3 linked regions of the Saccharomyces cerevisiae S288C genome follow. The gene in region 1 interacts genetically with each later gene. Each region holds a gene or a part of one and is shown on either strand. Other genes may lie near its edges.

Evidence for each region. A genetic interaction does not mean that the proteins touch.
Region 2: mutations in APL5 (region 1) and COG7 together harm fitness more than expected from each alone (negative genetic interaction), as found in Saccharomyces cerevisiae (4 studies listed by BioGRID).
Region 3: mutations in APL5 (region 1) and COG6 together harm fitness more than expected from each alone (negative genetic interaction), as found in Saccharomyces cerevisiae (6 studies listed by BioGRID).

The regions. Positions count from the first base shown.
Region 1 is NC_001148.4:174,270-179,521, forward strand, and holds APL5 (Apl5p), read left to right. Parts: upstream 1-1,953; coding exon 1,954-4,752; downstream 4,753-5,252. Other genes in the region: 60S ribosomal protein uL30 RPL7B, read left to right, coding at 1-433; OXR1 (Oxr1p), read left to right, coding at 774-1,595; DDC1 (Ddc1p), read left to right, coding at 5,008-5,252. UniProt on the Saccharomyces cerevisiae protein: Part of the AP-3 complex, an adaptor-related complex which is not clathrin-associated. The complex is associated with the Golgi region as well as more peripheral structures.
Region 2 is NC_001139.9:484,880-492,131, reverse strand, and holds COG7 (Golgi transport complex subunit COG7), read left to right. Parts: upstream 1-1,584; coding exon 1,585-2,424; downstream 2,425-7,252. Other genes in the region: RPN14 (Rpn14p), read left to right, coding at 176-1,429; calcium-transporting ATPase PMC1, read right to left, coding at 2,690-6,211; YGL006W-A (uncharacterized protein), read right to left, coding at 6,599-6,709. UniProt on the Saccharomyces cerevisiae protein: Acts as a component of the peripheral membrane COG complex that is involved in intra-Golgi protein trafficking.
Region 3 is NC_001146.8:544,640-553,876, reverse strand, and holds COG6 (Golgi transport complex subunit COG6), read left to right. Parts: upstream 1-1,889; coding exon 1,890-4,409; downstream 4,410-9,237. Other genes in the region: YNL040W (putative alanine--tRNA ligase), read right to left, coding at 1-497; YNL040C-A (uncharacterized protein), read left to right, coding at 1,319-1,399; BOP3 (Bop3p), read right to left, coding at 4,587-5,777; YNL042W-B (uncharacterized protein), read right to left, coding at 6,507-6,764; YIP3 (Yip3p), read right to left, coding at 8,000-8,506, 8,586-8,609; LAP2 (bifunctional aminopeptidase/epoxide hydrolase), read right to left, coding at 8,899-9,237. UniProt on the Saccharomyces cerevisiae protein: Acts as a component of the peripheral membrane COG complex that is involved in intra-Golgi protein trafficking.

The sequences.
Region 1 (5,252 bases):
GGTTCTACAATTGCTAAGATTGACAAGAATCAACTCTGGTACATTCGTCAAAGTTACCAAGGCTACTTTGGAACTATTGAAGTTGATTGAACCATACGTTGCTTACGGTTACCCATCCTACTCTACTATTAGACAATTGGTCTACAAGAGAGGTTTCGGTAAGATCAACAAGCAAAGAGTTCCATTGTCCGACAATGCTATCATCGAAGCCAACTTGGGTAAGTATGGTATCTTGTCCATTGACGATTTGATTCACGAAATCATCACTGTTGGTCCACACTTCAAGCAAGCTAACAACTTTTTGTGGCCATTCAAGTTGTCCAACCCATCTGGTGGTTGGGGTGTCCCAAGAAAGTTCAAGCATTTCATCCAAGGTGGTTCTTTCGGTAACCGTGAAGAATTCATCAATAAATTGGTTAAGGCTATGAACTAACATTATTCCGTGTGGCAATAATCTCAATGTATAATAAATAATATTTCTCTTCATATATATGACCGGACTCGTAATAGAATAATTGACTGGAACAATAGCGCATATTGCTTTGCTTCTATACGTAGTTGAGTTTTCACTCACGTACAGCTAGAGAATCTCACATAGGAGTATCCCTGTAGTTAGTTCCGCGCGGTTCGATCACGGATATACTTTCAACAATGGCAGTATGAAAGCCTGTTATAAAAAAGAAGGAAACAATAAACGAAGTGCTTTTTTGCCTCCTAAATTATTCAATTTGACAACTGATTTCCAGCCATTCATTATTCAGTGAGGAGCGACAATGTTTGGAGTCAAGGATGCTATATTCAAGATTAAACGTTCCATTGCAGGCACAGATTCTTCTGATTCCACTGCTTACACAACGGCAAGTGAATCTTCACCTCAATTAAAAGATTCCCATAACCCCTTTCGAAATAAAACGACATCCGAGAGAACTATAGTTGAGGAGGGCTCTCTACCACCGGTGAGATTGAATGGCTACTTGCCCTCAACTAAAAATAAACTTCTTACTCCTGAAATGTGCGATGAAATAAGAACATTAATGCCCACGAGGATACAGTTGTACACCGAATGGAACCTTCTATATAGCCTTGAGCAACATGGGTCTTCATTACACTCCCTGTATAGTAACGTTGCTCCAGATAGCAAGGAATTTAGAAGAGTGGGGTATGTATTAGTAATAAAGGATCGTAAAAACGGAATCTTTGGAGCTTACAGCAACGAAGCTTTTCATCCTAACGAACATAGGCAATACACAGGAAACGGGGAATGTTTTCTATGGAAGCTGGATAAAGTACCTGATGTTAATATATCCGAAAAAGAAGAATCTGAGCAAGAAGGTAAAGAAGGTAAGGAGGAAGGGGATAAAGAGGAGAGATGGAGGTTTTCAGGTTATCCTTACACTGGAGTTAACGAATTTGCTATATACTGTACATCTGAATTTCTTTCAATGGGTGCAGGTGATGGTCATTATGGTCTTTTATGCGATGACGGCCTACTCCATGGTGTTTCAAACCCTTGTCAAACATATGGCAATGAAGTTTTGAGTAAGGAGGGCAAAAAATTTTCTATAGTAGCTTTGGAAGTATGGCGTGTAGGATAGTGTCATCTATTTAAATATCATACTATGTATTTATGAATGAGAACCTCATGATTGTAAACGAGAAACACTCCTTTAAATAGCCTAAACCGTATCCTCAGTAAGAAAAACTAGAAAATACGGTCCTAATACTTGCATGTGTTTTATGAGTGACGAAATAAATAGGAAAAGAAAAATATTTTAATACAAACTATCATTTATTGAAATGCTCTTTTTCATTTTCTTCATTAAATCATTGTATGCAGGCTGGGAAAAACAACCTTGCAATCTCCCAATGTGAAAAAAAAAAGAAAATGAAGATACGAACATACCTGAAGTGGGAAAGGCAGTTGCCACAACCAGAAGAGCATAACATATTGTCATGACCTCTTTATATGCACCTGGGGCGGAGGATATTCGGCAAAGGTTACGTCCTTTTGGGTTTTTCTTTGAGAAATCACTAAAGGATTTGATTAAGGGTATTAGGTCTCACAACGAAACACCAGAAAAACTGGATCAATTCTTTAAACAAGTATTAAGTGAATGCCGGGAAGAAGTGAACTCTCCAGATCTAAATTCTAAGACCAATGCCGTTCTTAAATTGACCTATTTAGAGATGTACGGTTTTGACATGGCTTGGTGCAACTTTCATATCTTAGAGGTTATGAGCAGTAATAAACTTCAACAAAAACGTGTGGGGTATTTGGCTGCATCACAATCTTTTTACAAAGATTCTGACATTTTGATGCTTGCAACTAACTTGTTGAAAAAAGACTTAAAGTATGACGGAAACAATGATGTTGTTAAAGTTGGCATTGCTTTAAGTGGTCTTTCCACTATAATTACACCCTCATTAGCAAGAGATATAGCTGATGATTTGTTCACTATGCTAAACAGCACAAGACCGTACATAAGAAAGAAGGCCATTACCGCACTATTTAAAGTTTTTCTGCAATATCCAGAGGCTTTGAGAGATAATTTTGATAAGTTTGTTTCAAAGCTAGACGATGATGATATATCTGTGGTTTCTGCCGCTGTCAGTGTTATTTGCGAGCTATCAAAAAAAAACCCCCAACCATTCATCCAGCTTTCACCTTTATTATACGAGATATTAGTTACCATTGACAATAACTGGATAATCATTAGATTATTGAAGTTATTCACCAACTTATCACAAGTGGAACCGAAATTGAGAGCCAAGTTATTGCCGAAAATTTTAGAACTGATGGAGAGTACTGTTGCAACTTCTGTGATCTATGAATCTGTCAACTGTATTGTCAAGGGGAATATGCTAGAAGAAGATGATTTTGAAACAGCAATGGCATGCCTGGAAAGATTGCACACATTTTGTGATTCTCAGGATCCAAATTTGAGATATATTAGCTGCATATTGTTTTACAAGATCGGCAAAATCAATACTGATTTTATTTCTCGGTTCGACCAACTGATTATACGCTTACTCTCCGATGTCGACGTTTCTATAAGATCAAAAGCAATTGAATTGGTTGAAGGTATTGTTGATGAGGATAACTTAAAGGCAATTGTCCAAACATTGATGAAGCAATTTGTAGATGAAGATGTGGTTATCCTACAAACTGGAAGCATCGTATACGAAAAATCAAAGAGAATTCCCATAATAATTCCAGAAAATTACAAGATAAAAATGGTGAACGTCATTATATCGATTTGTTCAGCTGACAACTATTCCAGTGTTAACGACTTTGAATGGTACAATGCAGTAATAATGGACTTGGCGATGCTCTGTCAAGACATATCTGATAAAAGCCTTGGATCAAAAATTGGTGAACAGTTTAGGAATTTGATGATAAAAGTTCCTTCAATGAGAGAAGTAACCATTGCTAATATTATAAAGCTTATTTCAAATGACAATATTAACAAACAGTTGCCTACCGTATTGAGAGAATGCATTTGGTGTCTCGGAGAATTTTCTACCCTAGTTGAAAATGGTAACGACTTAATAAAAATCATGACTGAGAATATCAGTTATTATTCTCATAGTGTACAAGAAGTTTTAATTTTAGCACTTGTTAAAGTATTTAGTAATTGGTGTAATAACTTTCAGGAGGATAAACGCTTTGAAATTAAAATGGTGTTAAAAGAGCTAATTGAATTTTTTGAAAATTTATCTTATTCGAGTACATTCGAAGTCCAGGAAAGAAGCGTAGAAGTTTTAGAATTTTTAAGACTAAGTTTGGAGGCTTTAGAGGAGGATACGGAAGGTCTACCAATGCTACTGAGCGAAGTCCTGCCTAGTTTTTTTAACGCCTATGAACTCGCACCAATTGCGCGTGGGACTCAATTGAAGTTAGCAGTAGATGAGAATCTTGATCTAGAAACTCCATTTTTGACAAAGGAGGCAGCTGATGAACTCTTAGATGAACAAAAAAGTGACGCCATCAGTGATTTAATGTCTGATATCTCAATGGACGAGCAAGTTGAACTAAAATTCGTTGATGATTCTGATACTTCGTATGAAGAAAAGGAAAAATTGGATGATTTTGAAAATCCATTTGAGATTGAGAGAGAAAAGGAACGGATGTCAAATCCTTATTATCTAGGTGAAGAAGACGAAGAAAGAACTAAGAACTCTAAAGATTTGTTGGACTTGAATGAGGAGGAAAGTAGTGATAAAAAGCCAGAAACTATTAGATTAAATAGAACCGATAATTCGTTGAATTCTCTAAGTTTATCTACAACTGAAATCAGCAGAAAGAAGAAGAAGGGAAAGAAGAAAAATAGGGTTCAAGTCTTATCCGATGAACCTGTTATCGAAGCCGCTCCCAAAAGGAAAGATGCATTCCAGAAACCCCATGATAATCATTCAACTCAAAATCCTTTGAAAAAGGACAAGATTAATCTGAGAATGCACTCTCAACTTGAAAATTTTGATTTTTCCAATTTTGGGCAATCGAGTAACGCAGGAAGAGGATCGCAGGAAGAGGGCAACCTTAGAAAGGAAGACGAGTTAGAATTAAGTCGTTTAGAGGCCAATCTTATTGTAAAAGATGAAAAGGATAATTTAAGTGATACTGAAGAAGTTATAGTTATAAAAAAGAAGAAGAAAGGGAAAAAGTCAAAGTCAAAAAACAAACTAAAAACGAAAGCAAAAAATTCTCCAGAACCAAATGAATTTCTTCGAGACCAAAGCACTGACATTTAACGATAAAAAAATCGAAGTCGTGAATTCTCAATGACAGCGATTACGTACGTAAACTATAATTAATTTAAGTATTTTATTCTGCATAGTATATTATTGCGGTGCACTCAATTTGCCGAAAGAGACGGCATATTTAATAATGACGCGAATGAATCAAAGGCCGCCAAAGGTAATCATAGACCAGAGATGATTTGCAAAATTATTTGACATACTATTGCTAGTGTAACAATAACACAGCATAACTTTGCTTAGACATATATGTCATTTAAGGCAACTATCACCGAGTCGGGGAAGCAGAATATCTGGTTTCGTGCGATATATGTGTTATCTACAATTCAGGATGATATCAAGATTACAGTGACAACAAATGAGTTAATTGCTTGGTCAATGAACGAGACAGATACTACTCTTTGTCAGGTTAGGTTTCAGAAAAGCTTTTTTGAGGAGTATGAGTTTAAACCACATGAGATTGTATTTGGAGAAAATGGGGTTCAAGTTATAGA
Region 2 (7,252 bases), on another chromosome or scaffold:
TGGGAATAAGGCTCAGTTAACCTTATTAACTTTTGTGATGTTTTTAACATGACATATTACAGGCGTCAGGATGGGCGAATAATCTAGAAATCGGCAAAAGAAGCTTCGAAAAATTAAGTTTTCAACCCTAAGAGCAGAAAGTAAAAAGAAATAGCGAAGTACAATAGAAACGACAATGACTAAGACCATCACAGTTGCTCATATCCAGTATGATTTTAAAGCTGTTCTGGAAGAAAATGATGAAAATGACGATGAATTTTACATCAATGTTGACAAAAACCTAAATGAAATCAAGGAGCATAAGATAGTAGTGTTAGGAAATAGCAGGGGTGTAGATGCAGGCAAAGGAAATACATTTGAAAAGGTTGGCTCCCACTTATACAAGGCGCGGTTGGATGGACATGATTTTTTATTCAATACTATCATAAGAGATGGTTCAAAGATGCTCAAGAGGGCGGATTATACTGCCGTAGACACAGCTAAACTTCAGATGAGACGGTTCATATTAGGCACTACAGAAGGCGATATTAAAGTATTGGATTCAAATTTCAACCTTCAAAGAGAAATTGACCAAGCTCACGTTAGTGAAATAACAAAACTAAAGTTTTTTCCAAGCGGTGAAGCTTTGATATCTAGTTCACAGGATATGCAATTAAAGATCTGGTCAGTAAAAGACGGCTCAAATCCTCGCACGTTAATTGGACACAGGGCGACAGTCACAGATATTGCCATAATAGACCGAGGAAGGAATGTGCTCTCTGCCTCTTTGGATGGTACAATTCGCCTTTGGGAGTGCGGCACAGGAACGACAATTCACACGTTTAACAGAAAAGAAAACCCGCATGATGGTGTTAACAGCATAGCGCTGTTCGTAGGGACAGACAGACAATTACATGAAATTTCTACTTCCAAGAAAAATAATCTAGAGTTTGGAACATATGGAAAATATGTGATTGCTGGTCACGTTTCTGGTGTTATTACTGTACATAATGTATTTTCCAAAGAGCAAACTATTCAACTCCCAAGCAAGTTCACATGTTCATGTAATTCATTGACAGTCGATGGCAATAATGCAAACTATATTTATGCCGGATATGAAAATGGAATGCTAGCTCAATGGGATCTAAGATCACCGGAATGCCCAGTTGGTGAGTTTTTAATTAATGAAGGCACCCCAATAAACAATGTCTACTTTGCAGCCGGAGCCTTATTTGTATCTTCTGGATTCGACACCAGTATTAAGCTTGACATTATTTCAGACCCAGAAAGTGAACGGCCCGCTATTGAATTTGAGACGCCCACCTTTTTAGTTTCCAATGACGATGAGGTCAGCCAATTCTGTTACGTTTCTGATGATGAATCAAATGGGGAGGTGCTTGAAGTTGGAAAAAACAACTTCTGCGCTTTGTATAACTTAAGTAATCCTTAACCTCTTTCGTACTAGTAACTTTTTCAAAAAAGTTCACTTCGCTGCATGAGCTTGGCGTAATGCGCTTTGAGGGTGATAATGCATTTTATTTCCATATGAAATATGTCTAAAATAGAACAATTCACTAAGAACAAGAAGGCCAAACTAAGCAGAATATGGTAGAGTTGACAATTACGGGTGATGATGATGATATATTGAGTATGTTTTTTGATGAGGAGTTCGTTCCCCATGCATTCGTTGATATACTCTTATCAAATGCCTTAAACGAAGATCAGATTCAAACGCAATCAGTATCCTCATTGCTATTAACCAGGTTGGATTTTTACACAAAGAACCTTACAAAAGAGTTGGAAAGCACCATATGGAATTTGGATAAATTATCTCAAACGTTACCAAGAACTTGGGCATCTTCTAGGTATCACAAAGAAGCAGAACAGAACGATTCCTCATTGTATTCTACTGAATCCTTAAAATCATCGAAGCTTGAATATTACTTAGATACGTTGGCAAGTGCTGTAAGAGCATTAGAAACAGGAATGCATAATGTAACTGAGAAACTAAGCGATCTAGATAACGAAAATAATCGCAATACCAATGTGAGGCAACAACTGCAAAGTTTAATGTTGATTAAGGAGAGAATTGAAAAAGTGGTATATTACCTGGAACAAGTTAGGACCGTTACGAATATTTCGACAGTTAGAGAAAATAATACAACCAGCACGGGGACAGATCTTTCGATAACAGATTTTAGAACATCATTGAAAGCATTAGAGGATACAATCGATGAATCTTTAAGCTCTGCGATTGATAACGAGGCTAAAGATGAAACAAACAAGGATTTGATTGGGAGAATTGATTCACTTTCTGAACTGAAATGTCTGTTTAAAGGCCTAGATAAGTTCTTTGCTGAGTATAGCAACTTTTCGGAGAGCATAAAATCAAAAGCACAAAGTTATTTATCAACCAAGAATATTGACGATGGTATGATATCATAATCGGTGATAAAAACAAAAAATTTGCAATTAACAAAAGAAATTTATAGCATGTTTAAATTCTTATTTCTTTTTACCATTTCCAGTCCTTTTGGTCCACTTGTAATGCATAAAAGGGTAAAAAGGAATTTGTTTAGGAGGACATGCTATTTCAGATAGTTTCTTTTTATTGATTATATAATATAGTGTACAATTTTGAAAATATAACTATTACACACATCTTTTCATTTGGTCACTTACATTTGTATAAACATATAGAGCGCGTCTATTAATAAAAGGCGGTGGACTCTGGACTATCAGATTCCTCCAACAGCGCTTCTTCATCGTCGTGTTTTCCAGTATGGTTTTTTCTGAGGAACTCGAGTCCAAATACGTACTTGAATCTTTGAACGAAAGCAGCCGGAAATACCTTCACTGCTACTTCATCGGGGCAGATTCTCACTAGCACCCCCATGATTAGAGACAACATACCACACAGTACCGCGGTTATCCACATTGATTTGGTTTGTCTGGCAATAGAAAATGGTGCGCCACCAAAAAACATGATTAAAACTTGACAGCTGCCAATGATCGCCATGATCGTGAGAAAATAATAGTTTCTACCCAAGTCTTGGAAGAAATTCAAATTGGCGGCAGAAATCCTGCCTCTCCAGTTTGATATACCATCACCTTCATCTAATTTTCTCGATACTAACATGGTAAAAAATTGCAACCAAACAAAAGTGTTGAATGTCATGGCATTCAGTTGCTGCTGTTGGTGACTTGTTATTTCATCTTCATGTTTCTTGAAGAATAACTCTGGCCCGTAAAAATGCAAAATGAAAGTAACTATCAACTGCAATGTAGCTTGTGATAGAATCATTTTCCAAGTTGACACAGAAATCAAAGAAGTTGAGCGGCCCCTAGGTTTTCTGTCCATGATATTTGGATCGGGTTTATCAGTGGCTAAAGCTAAAGCTGCTAGAGTATCCATGATTAGATTGATCCATAACAGTTGGACCGCCGTCAGTACTGATGTTTCATCACTAGATGCAACGGATGAAACGAACGTTAAAATCACTGCGGTGATATTAACAATTAATTGAAACTGTATGAACTTTTTTATGGAGACTGAAACACATCTTCCCCACTTAATAGCGTTGACAATAGCTGAGAAATCATCAGTCATCAAAATAATGTCAGAAGCCTCTCTGGCAACCTCCGTACCGGAAATACCCATTGAGAAACCAACATCAGCTAGCTTTAAAGCTGGAGCATCGTTCGTACCATCGCCAGTGACCGCAACAACATCTCCCATCCCCTTCAATGTTTCTACTAATAACCTTTTATCCTCAGGCGAAGACCTTGCTAAGACCCTTAAATTTGGCAGGATTCTTATACGTTCGTTTTTCGTTAACTTTCTGAATTCAGTGCCTTCCATTGCAGAATAAGCCTCTGAACTAATATCAGTAGAAAGAATCGCACAATTCCTCGCGATTGCTTTTGCTGTTAATATATTGTCACCAGTAACCATACGCACAGTTACACCAGCACGTTGGCACTGTTGTACTGACTCCCTAACGCCTGCACGTAAAGGGTCTTGAATCCCAAGTAAACCATCTAGAATTAAGCCCTTTTGACTGTTAAATAGCAAGTCAAGAGCAGCTATATTTGGTGAGTCTTTATCACGCAGCTGTTCAGGGGGCCAGCTATCACATTCGCAGAAATCTTTGTGGGCAACACTTATGGCTCTGAGAGCATCGGACGCAAGATTTTTGATTTCATCATCAGTTTCTTTTTTATTGTCCTCATTGATTTCTTCCAAAGTATCATCTGAATTCCTCTTGTACGAACAATTCTTGGAAACAATTTCTGCTGCACCTTTAATGAAAAACCTGTAAAATGGTTTTTTATTTTTGCCTTCTTTGTACTTTACCACTAAGCCGGCCCATTTACGAGAACTTTCAAACGGAATTGTTTGAACAACTTTTTCGATATTAAACTTTTCCATCGGTTGATCTCTCAAATATTGCAATTCTCCCGGTTGTAATCCTAATGATAATCTTGCCAAACTGAGTAAGGCTGTTTCCGTTTTAGAGCCAATAAAGGGTTCTTGCCTACCCTTGTTGACATTTTTGAATAATTGATCCTCGTCATCTTCCCTGTTGCCTTTTTTAAAAAACGATAATCTAGATTTACACTTATCTAAAAAACTCAAATTTTTTGACATATTTTTACTACCATTTGTATTTTTATCGTTTTTCTTATAATCTCTGTTTTCGAAGGCGGTAGAATTCAGGACAATATTGGCTAATAAATCATTTCTCAAGGATGACGAACAATTTTCTTCAAAAACTTTCTTAGAATTCAGCTTCCTTTGTTCGCTAACGGGCAACGATTTACTATCATCAAATTTAGAATTGCCCGGGAAGCCACGAACGACAGTCATGACATTTTCTGTCAAAGTGCCAGTCTTATCAGAGCACACTGCAGTAGCAGATCCCATCGTTTCACAGCTTCTTAAAACCCGTACTAAATTACCGTCTTTTGTCATTCTTGTTGTTGCAAACGCTAAGGCCAAAGTTACAGCTAATGGTAAACCTTCCGGAACAGCCACCACAATAACCGTGATAGATGTGATAAAAATGTTCATAAATTTAGAACCCTTTTGAGCGGGATCTAGATCATGGAACCTGCCATCCTCAGGTATTATGTAAAATAAGTACCTAGTGAAAAGGACCAAGAAAAGAATTATAGCAGACACGCAACCGTAAACGGATATATTATCAGCCAATTGGCTCAAATGTAACTGTAATGGAGTACTTTCAGGTTCGGCATTTAATGAAGTCATGGTTTGACCGTAAACTGAGTTTATACCCACGGACGTGATGACACCCCTGCCCAAGCCAGAGAGAATTCTGGAACCTGAAATCAACATACAATCAGCAATCTTGTTACCGTCTTCGTTAACGTCACCTATATCTAATGGTTTGCTATGGTTATGACTATCGATAGAATTAAATTTTTTGAAATCTCTTAATGAGTTATCCACCGGAAATTTCTGTATTGTGTTAGATTCACCAGTGATGGATGATTCATCTGCCTCACACTTCCCTGATATCATAACACAATCAGCGGGGACAACATCACCGGTTTGTAATGAAATGACATCACCGACTAAAACGTGGTGAATGGAAATTAATATTTCCTGATCATTTCTTATGACTATAATTTTACGGTTTTCCTTCTTTTTATTTAGCTTTGCAAATTGCAACTCCTTCTGGTAATCGTTAGCGGCACTCACTAGAACTACCACAAAGACCGCAATCATGATAGCAACCCCTTCAATCCAGTCAACTTGCTTAATTTTATTTCCTTCAGGATCATACTGTGGAGGTTGCATCCATAGTTCGTATAGACCTAAAACAAAGGAAACAACAGCGGCGACTGTCAGTAATTGCATTGTTTTGTCATTAAAAGCAGCCCATACTAATTGTAAAAAAGACTTTGGTATTCTTTCAGGAAGTGAATTATCGCCATAATTTTTATACCGGTTTGTCTTTCGATAATTTGATATTTCTGGAAGAGAAATGCCTGCATTTTTATCTGTTTTCAAGTATTTGAAGAGGCTGTTAGACTCATATCCAAATAATCTGACAAATGATCTTATTGATTTAGGGTTATGAAGATCCGAAAGTTGACTTTTTGATAATTTGAAATTATCGTAGACTCCGTTCTCATTTCCCGTATACGATGGTTTGTTATTTTCATTATTCGCTAGTAAAGCAGAATTTTCGTCTTGTCTAGACATTATTTTTTTTGTTACGCACACAGTTTTTTTTTTTTTAGAACCACTTTTCTAAACTTTATTTGTTCAAGTTTTATTTCTTTAATTCAATGTCGTATATATGTGATACAATTCTCTTAATACACTTAGTTTTTACTGGAGGCGCATGAGTTTTTTGACGTTTTCTTAAGCCTTTCTATTGAATGAAAATTACCAGAAAAGCCCCTTCTTCCTCAAATTTATGAAAAAATGTTTATTCTTAACCTAAGCCTTCTCAATTGAATCGTGCCAACCTGACTAAAATGTAGTTTGGGGAAGTGAAAAAATCTGAAGAGATTATTTAATTTTTCGTTAAGCCTGCAATTTATTTTGGTAATAATTGCTAGAAAGAAATCGAATATTTAACGCAATTCAAATAAAGCCTTTCCTTGGGGGGGGGCTGATACTATTTGAATGTTTTTGGAAGGCGCCCATTAAATGCAATGCCAAGTGGCGATGATAATGAATTATGAAGATTAGCATTTGTTTAAAAAGCGTGGAGGGCGCTTCTAGGGCCTGAGCCTCCTAATTTTCTTTTCCCCCTGACAAATGATGGAGAAGCTTCTTTGCCGGGTAAAAACCCTTTTTTTTTATCTTTTCTGCGGGCGGATAAAGCTGTTAGTGCCACATGTTTCTATACAAACTGTATTAAAGTAAAAAAATTAATAGACAATTTAGGCCCCTCAAATGGGTAAAATAGAACATATATCAGTATGCACAGCTCACTATTTTAAAAGCGGCAGGCTTGGAGCTGTAGGACCACACTACTGCGACAAAAAAAGATAAAGTTGTGTTTTATTTATGTTTTGCCGTAAGATCGATACTTTTCTTATTCTCATCAAGAAAACACAAACTGCCAAGAACTAAGAAAAGAAGAGCCGTAAACAATGCTTGTAAACCGAAGTATGAAAAGAAAAACTTGATAATTAAATCATCCCCTTTGGCTCAAATATTTATTTTGTATTATTCATGCTTGATTAGTTTAAGAGTGAACTTTACTATCTTAATTTTATTTTAGCCTTTTCA
Region 3 (9,237 bases), on another chromosome or scaffold:
TTGAAATAGTCGCTAGGCTCTAGAACAGGTTTTTTCTTTGTGATGATACCACCCATCGACCAAGATACAGTGTCTACTTTGTAGTTGCGTTCCAGAATGGCACTTAACAAGTGTTGACCAGTATGTTGTTGCATATAATCCATTCTCTTTTGCTCGTCCACGGCCACTTCCACTGTTGTTCCGGGCTCAATGTAGTCATTGACATGATGCTTTGCATGTAAACCGAAACGAGAAACGTGTGAAACTAATATCTTCTCAATTTTCGACGAATTACGATTCCCTTCAACAATTTTCAAAAAACCAGAATCACTTGGTTGGCCCCCACCTTCGGGGAACAGAATAGTATCTTGTAGTTCAATCTCATAACCTTCAATCTCTCCCTTTTTATTCTTCGTTGGTTCGCAAGAAACAACCAGTGTTTTGAACCCATCGAAGAGAAATGAGTTCCTCTGGCAGGCTAAAGCGCCGACCTTGACAGGCGTCATAGGTGTGGGCATGATAACTTACCTTTTAATCAATTTTTGACGCTGTTGTGTGCTTTCGTCGATATGCGTCACCAGGATGTCTATTCTTAAGTTTTTTTTACACGATAAGGATAAAAAATAAAAAGATGTTAATGATGGGTGGTTGGTTCTTTTACTAATGAAAAGTGTAAGCATATTTCGTACAAATTGCTTGCAATAAGTCACTTGTACAAAAGTAAACTGATATAAACGTCTTCCTAGTGGGCTGAATTTCAGAATTTACGCGAGTGATACATGAATTTACTGATAATCGATGGTATTCGTTATTTGATAAGGTGGTATTATTGAATATACAGAATGCATTATATGCGCTCATTGAGGATATAATAGTCATGACAGGAAATCAATGTCCTACGTAATAACACTATTATTTCTTCCTTTGCATTGCACGTTGTTATGCATTACTCTGTTACATCATCAGTTCTTGTATTTCGGCTTTTACTAGATTTGAGATTGTATCTCATGGCTTATGTCACTTTCTTACATTGTGTGTGATAGGTATACTAGTAACATGGCCACTAGTCAATAAGCAACGGTCAATTCTTATTCCAGCAGTTCTTAATATGCATGGAATTAGTGAAGAATAGGAGCCGATAACTTTACTTGTGCATTTGTATTAAATTTACGTCCTTCTTATTTATTTCGTCCACGTACGTTACTACCCTTTTTCCAGTAATTTTTCTTTAACTTGAAATGGTCTTGTAACTCCTATTACATTCCGGTGCCATATCAAGAGTAGCCTGGTAATATAGAAAAATTCCAGTAGCTTAACAAGAGCCTATTTTTAATCAAAAATGCCGGAGCAAAAAGCCAACTGTTCACCAAACGGTAACATAACAGTTGATAGTATGATTATGTCGCTAGGATCTTCTTAAAGGATAACACGAATTACGAAACCAATAGAGGGATATTAGAAGGATCAGCTGAAACCTAAAGATCAATAATATAACAGGATTATAAGTGACAACATATAGTATTAAAGAAACAAACCGCTATATGATTGCATGTATTACCACCTCTCTTTTGTTGATACGCATATCCCTGAGGAAAACTCTCAGCACATTCCATATACGAGGGAAAAATTGGATTTCAAAAACTGGTATCTAATCCTACCGATGCGTATGTTAGTCGAAATCTATAAGTAAATTGTTAATGATTGCTTTCTGTTCGTTTATACTTCCATTTTACTTATATATCACCTGCCGTCTCAGACGACAAAATACATACAACTGGCGTAATGACGCTTTCATACAAAATATACATCTAAGGTAGTAATTCATTCTAGTAAATATTCATCCGAAAGCTGTAGTATCTGAAGTATATTGTACATTATCGTAACAAAATCCCCAGTGAAGTTTACTCACAATGGATTTCGTTGTAGACTATCAGACCTACGCAATGGCGGATACTGCCACGCCAGAATTACCAGAACCTGAGCCAAGACTAAACTTAACCTCAGATGCACAGTCACAGCCCACCGGTAAACTAGATCTACAGTTTAAGTTGCCCGACCTTCAACGTTATTCCAATAATAATGCAACTTTGCCAGTAGATAATGATGGTGCTGGTTCGAAAGACCTACATAAGAAAATGACACATTACGCAATGTCTTCCATTGATAAAATACAGCTTTCAAATCCAAGCAAACAATTAGGGCAAAATTCCCAGGATGAAAAACTATCGCAGCAAGAATCTCAAAATTTCACGAATTACGAGCCAAAAAACCTTGATTTATCAAAATTAGTATCCCCGTCAAGTGGTTCCAACAAAAATACCACAAATTTGGTTCTTTCGAATAAACTATCCAAGATATTGAACAATTACACATTGATTAACTATCAGGCCACAGTCCAACTAAGAAAATCCCTAAAGGTTCTAGAAGAGAATAAAGAGAGATTGTCCCTTGATGAACAAAAGCTCATGAATCCTGAATATGTAGGTACTTTGGCAAGAAGAGCATTGAGGACTGATTTGGAATCTCAACTGCTAAAGGAACATATTACGGTACTTGAGGAATTCAAACCTATCATTAGAAGGATTAAACGATTATCTTCTTCCGTCGAAAAAATACAAAGAACGAGCGAAAAATTACTAAGTAATGAGACAAATGAGGTTCCAACAAATAACGTGGTACTTCAGGAAATAGATCAATACCGTTTAAAGGCAGAGCAGTTGAAGCTGAAAAAAAAAATACTGTTATCTATAAGGGATAGGTTTACTTTGAATCAGGTAGAGGACGATGTAATCACCAATGGTACTATAGACAACATCTTTTTCGAGGTAGTAAAGAAAGTAATCAATATTAAAGATGAATCAAGTTTCTTGCTGACGCTTCCTAATTTGAATGCTGGAAATGCTTTGATAATGGGAGTTAATGAAATTTTAGAAAAGACAAACAAAAAAATCTTCAATTATTTGATCGATTTTTTATATAGTTTTGAATCCTCTTCAAATTTATTAAATGACCATGGTACTACTGAACAAGAAAGCTTAAACATTTTTCGGAAGAGTCTGGTCTTCCTGTCAAGTGATCTAGAATTATTTAATGAGTTGTTGAAAAGAGTGACCACACTGAGATCCAAGAGTATTCTGGATGAGTTTTTGTCTCAATTCGATATGAATTCAACTACCTCTAAACCCATCATATTATCGGCACACGATCCAATTAGGTATATTGGTGACGTACTAGCGTCCGTTCATTCCATCATCGCAAATGAAGCTGATTTCGTGAAGTCACTATTTGACTTTCAGGATGAAGACTTAAAAGATACCCCAATTTCTATACTTCAACAAAACAAGACATTCTTGAAAGGCATCGACAACAAATTGCTGAACGATATCATCCAGTCGCTATCCAATTCGTGTCGTATTCGTATCGAGCAAATCGTGAGGTTTGAAGAAAATCCGATCATCAATTTCGAGATTGTGAGGCTGCTGAAACTTTACAGAGTTATGTTCGAGAGAAAGGGAATTCAGGACGATAGTTCTATTATTAACAATTTAAAGTCGTTGGAAGACATTTCCAAAAACAGAATTATTGGATACTATGAAGACTATATGAAGCAAACAGTCATGGCGGAAACAAAAAATTCTTCAGATGATTTACTGCCACCAGAGTGGCTATCAGAGTATATGAATAAATTGGTAGAGTTATTTGAAATTTATGAAAAGACACATGCTGCCGAAGATGAGGAATCAGAAGATAATAAATTGCTCTCATCTAAGAATTTACAAACAATTGTAGAACAACCAATAAAAGATGTTCTGTTAAAACAATTGCAAACATCTTTTCCTTTGGCGAAAAAAAATGAAAAAGAAAAGGCATCATTGCTAACTATAGAGATAAACTGTTTCGATTTAATTAAATCTAGACTTCAACCTTTTGAGGGATTGTTTGCACAAGATGATGACAGCCGGAAAATCACCATCTGGGTTTGTGATAAACTGAAGGAATATACTAAGCAAATGCTAACTTTACAAATAAAATTCCTATTTGAGAATACAGGTTTAGACCTTTACAGCAATTTGGTCAATATGATTTTTCCTGTGGACTCAGTAAAGGATGAATTGGATTATGATATGTACTTAGCCCTGAGGGATAATTCATTGATGGAATTAGACATGGTCAGAAAAAATGTGCATGATAAGTTGAACTATTATCTACCTCAGGCGTTAACAGATGTTCAAGGTAATTTACTATTTAAATTAACGTCACCAATGATAGCTGATGAAATATGCGATGAATGTTTCAAGAAGTTGTCGCTATTTTATAATATCTTCAGGAAACTGTTGATTCATTTGTATCCGAACAAGAAGGATCAGGTATTCGAAATTTTAAATTTTTCCACTGATGAATTTGACATGTTGATAGGTATTGATCACTGAGAGATGAACAACTTCTGTTTAAAATCGTCTCACAAAGACGCATCTTGCCCATAATGTAGCGATGCTCTATATCTCAAATATTTGTTACCTTTTTTATGTTGGTATGCGGCGGGTATCTATATAATATATGGGTGTATACATACGTAGGGGGAACATCAAAAAGAAAATAATGATCACTCAAGTACTATTTAAAATCTTGCCTACAGAATTATCCTTTGTGATGGTTCTTACGGGGCTTTCGTTTCTACTACTGCTTTCACTGCATGTTCTGTCATCCAAGTCATCGTGTACTTGACGTCCTTCACGAACCGATTGCAGCATATTTGGTTGTTCCTTCATATTGGATTCAATTGGTTTGTCATGTGAGGTAAGTGCTACGGACACGTTAGAATGTATAGGGGATGGTGATCTCTGTACTTGTTTTTCTTTTGCTTCATCGATAATACTTAAATCGATCACTCCAAAGGAGGATGTGGATCTTGCACGCCTATGCTTTTTTTGAACCATTCCAGGTTTCCTTGGTATAGTATGTAAATTGTGCGTGTGGAGATCCTGTTGCTGTTGTGGAGGAGGAGGCAGTGGTTGAGATAGCGGCTGCTGTTGGTCTCTATTGAAACTTAGTATGGATGTCATTGTAGAAGGAATATTAGGATTGGTGAACTTTCCTATTGGAAGTGACAAGTTACGGCTGTGAAGAGAAGTCGGCTTCTTGTTTAAAGGCGATTCTTGAGATTTTGTACCAGAGGGAATTCGCCTAGCCACATCTTCCTCCTTAATGGAAATATTGTCATTCAACGCAGCAACTGCGGATGCACCTATTCTTGCAGGAGAATTAGCTCTTCGTTGTACATTTGTAACTGTGGAGTGTGATATACCGCCGGTAGAGGATGATGCTGGAAACTTATATGGAGAGGGCTGTCGACTCATTGGAGTTGGTGACACTGTGTTCATATTTAGAGGTTTTAATGACTTCATAGAACCATTCAATCTGGGCAGATTTTCTGAAGATTGCGTGCCTTCTGTATTGTTATGTGGTTGATTGCCCCCTGCCTTCATCGGCGAAGACGCCGGTACGCCATGGTCGGTGTTGAATAGTTTATGTATTTGATTTATGGGCAGACCTGAACTGGAAGCAAGCTTAAACAACTCTATCGAACGATTCAAGTTTTCAAGTTTATAATATTGCTGCTTAGTCTTTTCTTGTTCTATTTTCAAATCCATAGCTTTCATTAAAGCATTCTCAGAAAAAGCCCATTCCGATACATTAGTACCAAATATTATATCTAACAGCGATTTGCTCTTGTTGACATTATTATGACTATTATCATTGCTTTCCTTTGGCTGGCTGTAACTGTTGAAAGTACTCATTGGTCGCCTGTGCTCACAGATGGTTGCAAGTTTTCCATGTAATGTAATTTGCTACTTATTTTCCTACTGCACGCGCAAGTTTTCTCGTTGACTGTTATTAAGAAACAAATGAACAAACAACAACTGCACTAGAAGAGCAACAAGACTAGTTTCCGCTTTCCTTCTCTTTTTCTTTTTTAAAAAAGCCAATACTGCATTTGCAGCTTACTGAAGAGGCCAAAAGAAACAAGGCTTGATGATAGTCAGTAATCTTCCTCTGGACCTCTTCGCCGAGTTCTTCGAGAAGTTCCCAATAAGGTAATCGAAACGAGAGAAAAAAAGACGAGCAAAAAATTTTCTCAATTTGCCTACTTTTAAGGGTTCGGAGAGGAAGGTTTATTTGTAAATCATGACATTATTGGGCGAAGCGTAAGTGGCTTTGAAGAAGAGGAATAGCTACTCGACCAAAACTTGAAGATACTATCATACCCAACTTGGAGCGCTCAGTGACTAGTCTGCCTTTAGTGCTGTCCTGCCTCCCGTCATGCCAAGAGCCGTACTCTCCCCTTAAGGGCTGCTATTTTTTTCCGGTAGGTGTTCGGAATCCCCTTTCGAGAAAAGTAATTAATCCGAGAATTCCTTATATTTCTTACCAGAAATAGTAAGCGAAAAGGACGTTGAACTATAGCAGATCAGCGCGTCTTCATAATCCCAGAAGGAGGCGGGAAGAACAACCCCCCCCATATAGTTTTACTGGTCTCCTTTCAATCTGTTTGTTCTGAACCTACTTTCATTCTTTTGGCAGATATATGTTGCAACACGTACATAGAGTGAGTTTACTTCTTTCAGCTTGGAGAAGCATGAGAGGTTAGGTTGATTGATGCTAAACAAAAAAATTCCGCCCTGATGGTGAAAAAAGATAACGGGGCGAGCTGGGAATTGAACCCAGGGCCTCTCGCATGCTTTGTCTTCCTGTTTAGGCAGGAAGTCGCCCAAAGCGAGAATCATACCACTAGACCACACGCCCGATTATTTCGTGTGGTTGTTGTATTACGGGCTCGAGTAATACCGGAGTGTCTTGACAATCCTAATATAAACAGTCTTAGGGAAGTAACCAGTTGTCAAAACGGTTTATCAGATTAATTCACGGAATGTTACTTATCTTATATATTATATAAAATATGAATCATACTAAGTGGTGGAAGCGCGGAATCTCGGATCTAAACTAATTGTTCAGGCATTTATACTTTGGGTAGTTCAGCTAGGGAAGGTCGGGTTTTGTCTCATGTTGTTCGTTTTGTTATAAGGTTGTTTCATATGTGTTTTATGAACGTTCAGGGTGACGTATTGTCATACTGACATATCTCATTTTGAGATACAACAGTGGTTGTGTCATGAAGTTAGTCAATACTAGCCGTCTTAACAATATTAATACCTGTCAGAAGAGCAGCTTGATTGACGGAATGTTACTTATCCCATATAATCTATATAGGATCTAAATCTGACTAAAGGGTGGAAGCATAGATCTTCGGAGCTAAACTGATTGCTCAACTATTTATACGTTTAGGTTCATCAAGGCAACCGGGGCTTTGAAAATACTTAATCTTGTTTTTTTCGCAACAACTGTTTCATACGTGTTTCATACGTCTTGTACGTTTAGGTTGATGAATCTGGTGATGCAGGGGTATTTCATTTTGAAGTGTAGTAGAGGTCTTCTAATGAAAACTCGGCAGGGCCCTAAGCTCAAACTCTACCTCATCTACGTTGACCCTTTTTACCTTCTAGATGCCATCAGTTGTTAATAGTAGTAATGGAATACGATTTGCCAATCAATCTTACAATCGCATATAATTCGTCACTGTTGAATATCTGCGACGTACACCATCTAATCACTTCGCTTAGTCGATATAACCATTTGTTTGAAAAGATGAATTGATTCTAATCTTGCCTCTCTCGGGTTATGTTATTATTATTTTTACGTTTTGGCACGTGAATCTTCAGTAATTGATTGCACGCTTGATAAACGAAAAAAACATAAACAAATAAGGTAAGACTGCATTGTAAATCCTAGGAATGAGAAAGAACAGAGAAGCTAACTGCAATTATGAATGGTGTCTGTATACAATTAAATACTAATGTTGACGGAGAAAGAGAATAAAAGACAAGAATTAACTAAATATTGAAGAAGAGTAAAATACACAATAGAAAAGAATGACTCCTTTTCCCAACACTTGTAGGAGTGTTCAAACAGTTTCTTCATCAAATACAGTTTCGATGGGTTTTTCCATCAATGATGCATGTCCGAAAACGCTGACGGCAGAAGCACCGATCAACCATAGCAAAGTTGAGATTGGCGAAGCTAAGAAACCTATTGGCACAGCAACACAAACCAGTCCGGTGTATAGTTGGTTGGTCTTGAAAGAACCAAATGGAGTTACGAGCTCCTCACCCTTTAGTTTGTTTATACCAACAATACCAGCTACGACTAGAACAATAACAAAGAGTAGCAACAAGTTTGTTAATAATGTGTAAATGCTCAAACAACCAATAATCAAACCATAGTTACTGGAAAAGTACTTCAGGTTATACGCCACTCTGGATTGAACTTCCCCAAAGTTTTGAGGTTTGGAAATTTTCTTGAAATTGAAAAATTCTTGCGGGGTGCGAAGGGTTGCTAATTTAGATTGCAAGGATTGGAACTCGCTCTTAATATTTTCCATGGAGAAGTTTTGAGTGAAACGTGAAACTTGCTATAGAAATATAGAAAAAAGGTTAACGCGTTAGTATAGTTTTTCAATGATGCAAATGTGTTTACAATTTAGAACTTACGGCTAAAGCTCCTAACTGATTCATTATTGGAGTATTTGATGTTATTTTATGCGTATTTGACGGCTGATAGTTCCAAACTCAGTGTTCAAAGCCCTGCAATATTGAATTCAATCTGAATTCTTTCGATTTGTATTTATATTCGTTGTTATTATTTATTTTTTCTTTTTGCCTCGATTGCATGTGACAAAAGTGCAAAATTCGTATCGCACGACACAGAACTCCGCCACTAATTAGAACCAGAGAAGTAGCAATGAAGGCTCATTAGTAGGTTATATTTAATTGTTTACGTATTCATGTTACGACACGTCCCTTTTCAAAGACCTAAATCTTGTTTCACAAGAGCTTTACAGATTGGATGATACGTGTCCTTGAATTTGTCGAAAGTTGCAAGTGCCAATCGACGGTCTACAGAGTTTAATAGTCTGTAACCGGGACGGACAAACTTCATTCTACCTACAGTTCCCAACCAATCGGCCAAATGCTTATATTCTTCTTGCAGCTTGGCAAAGATCTGAAATTTGAACATCTTGAAAACAACTTCCGCGTTCTGTGATTTAACAATGTTATCTTGATAGATATCTAACAGTGCCCTAGATGCCACGGGAAACTTGGCCCAGTCAAAATCTTTTGGTTTCTTGTTGGAATGGCCATT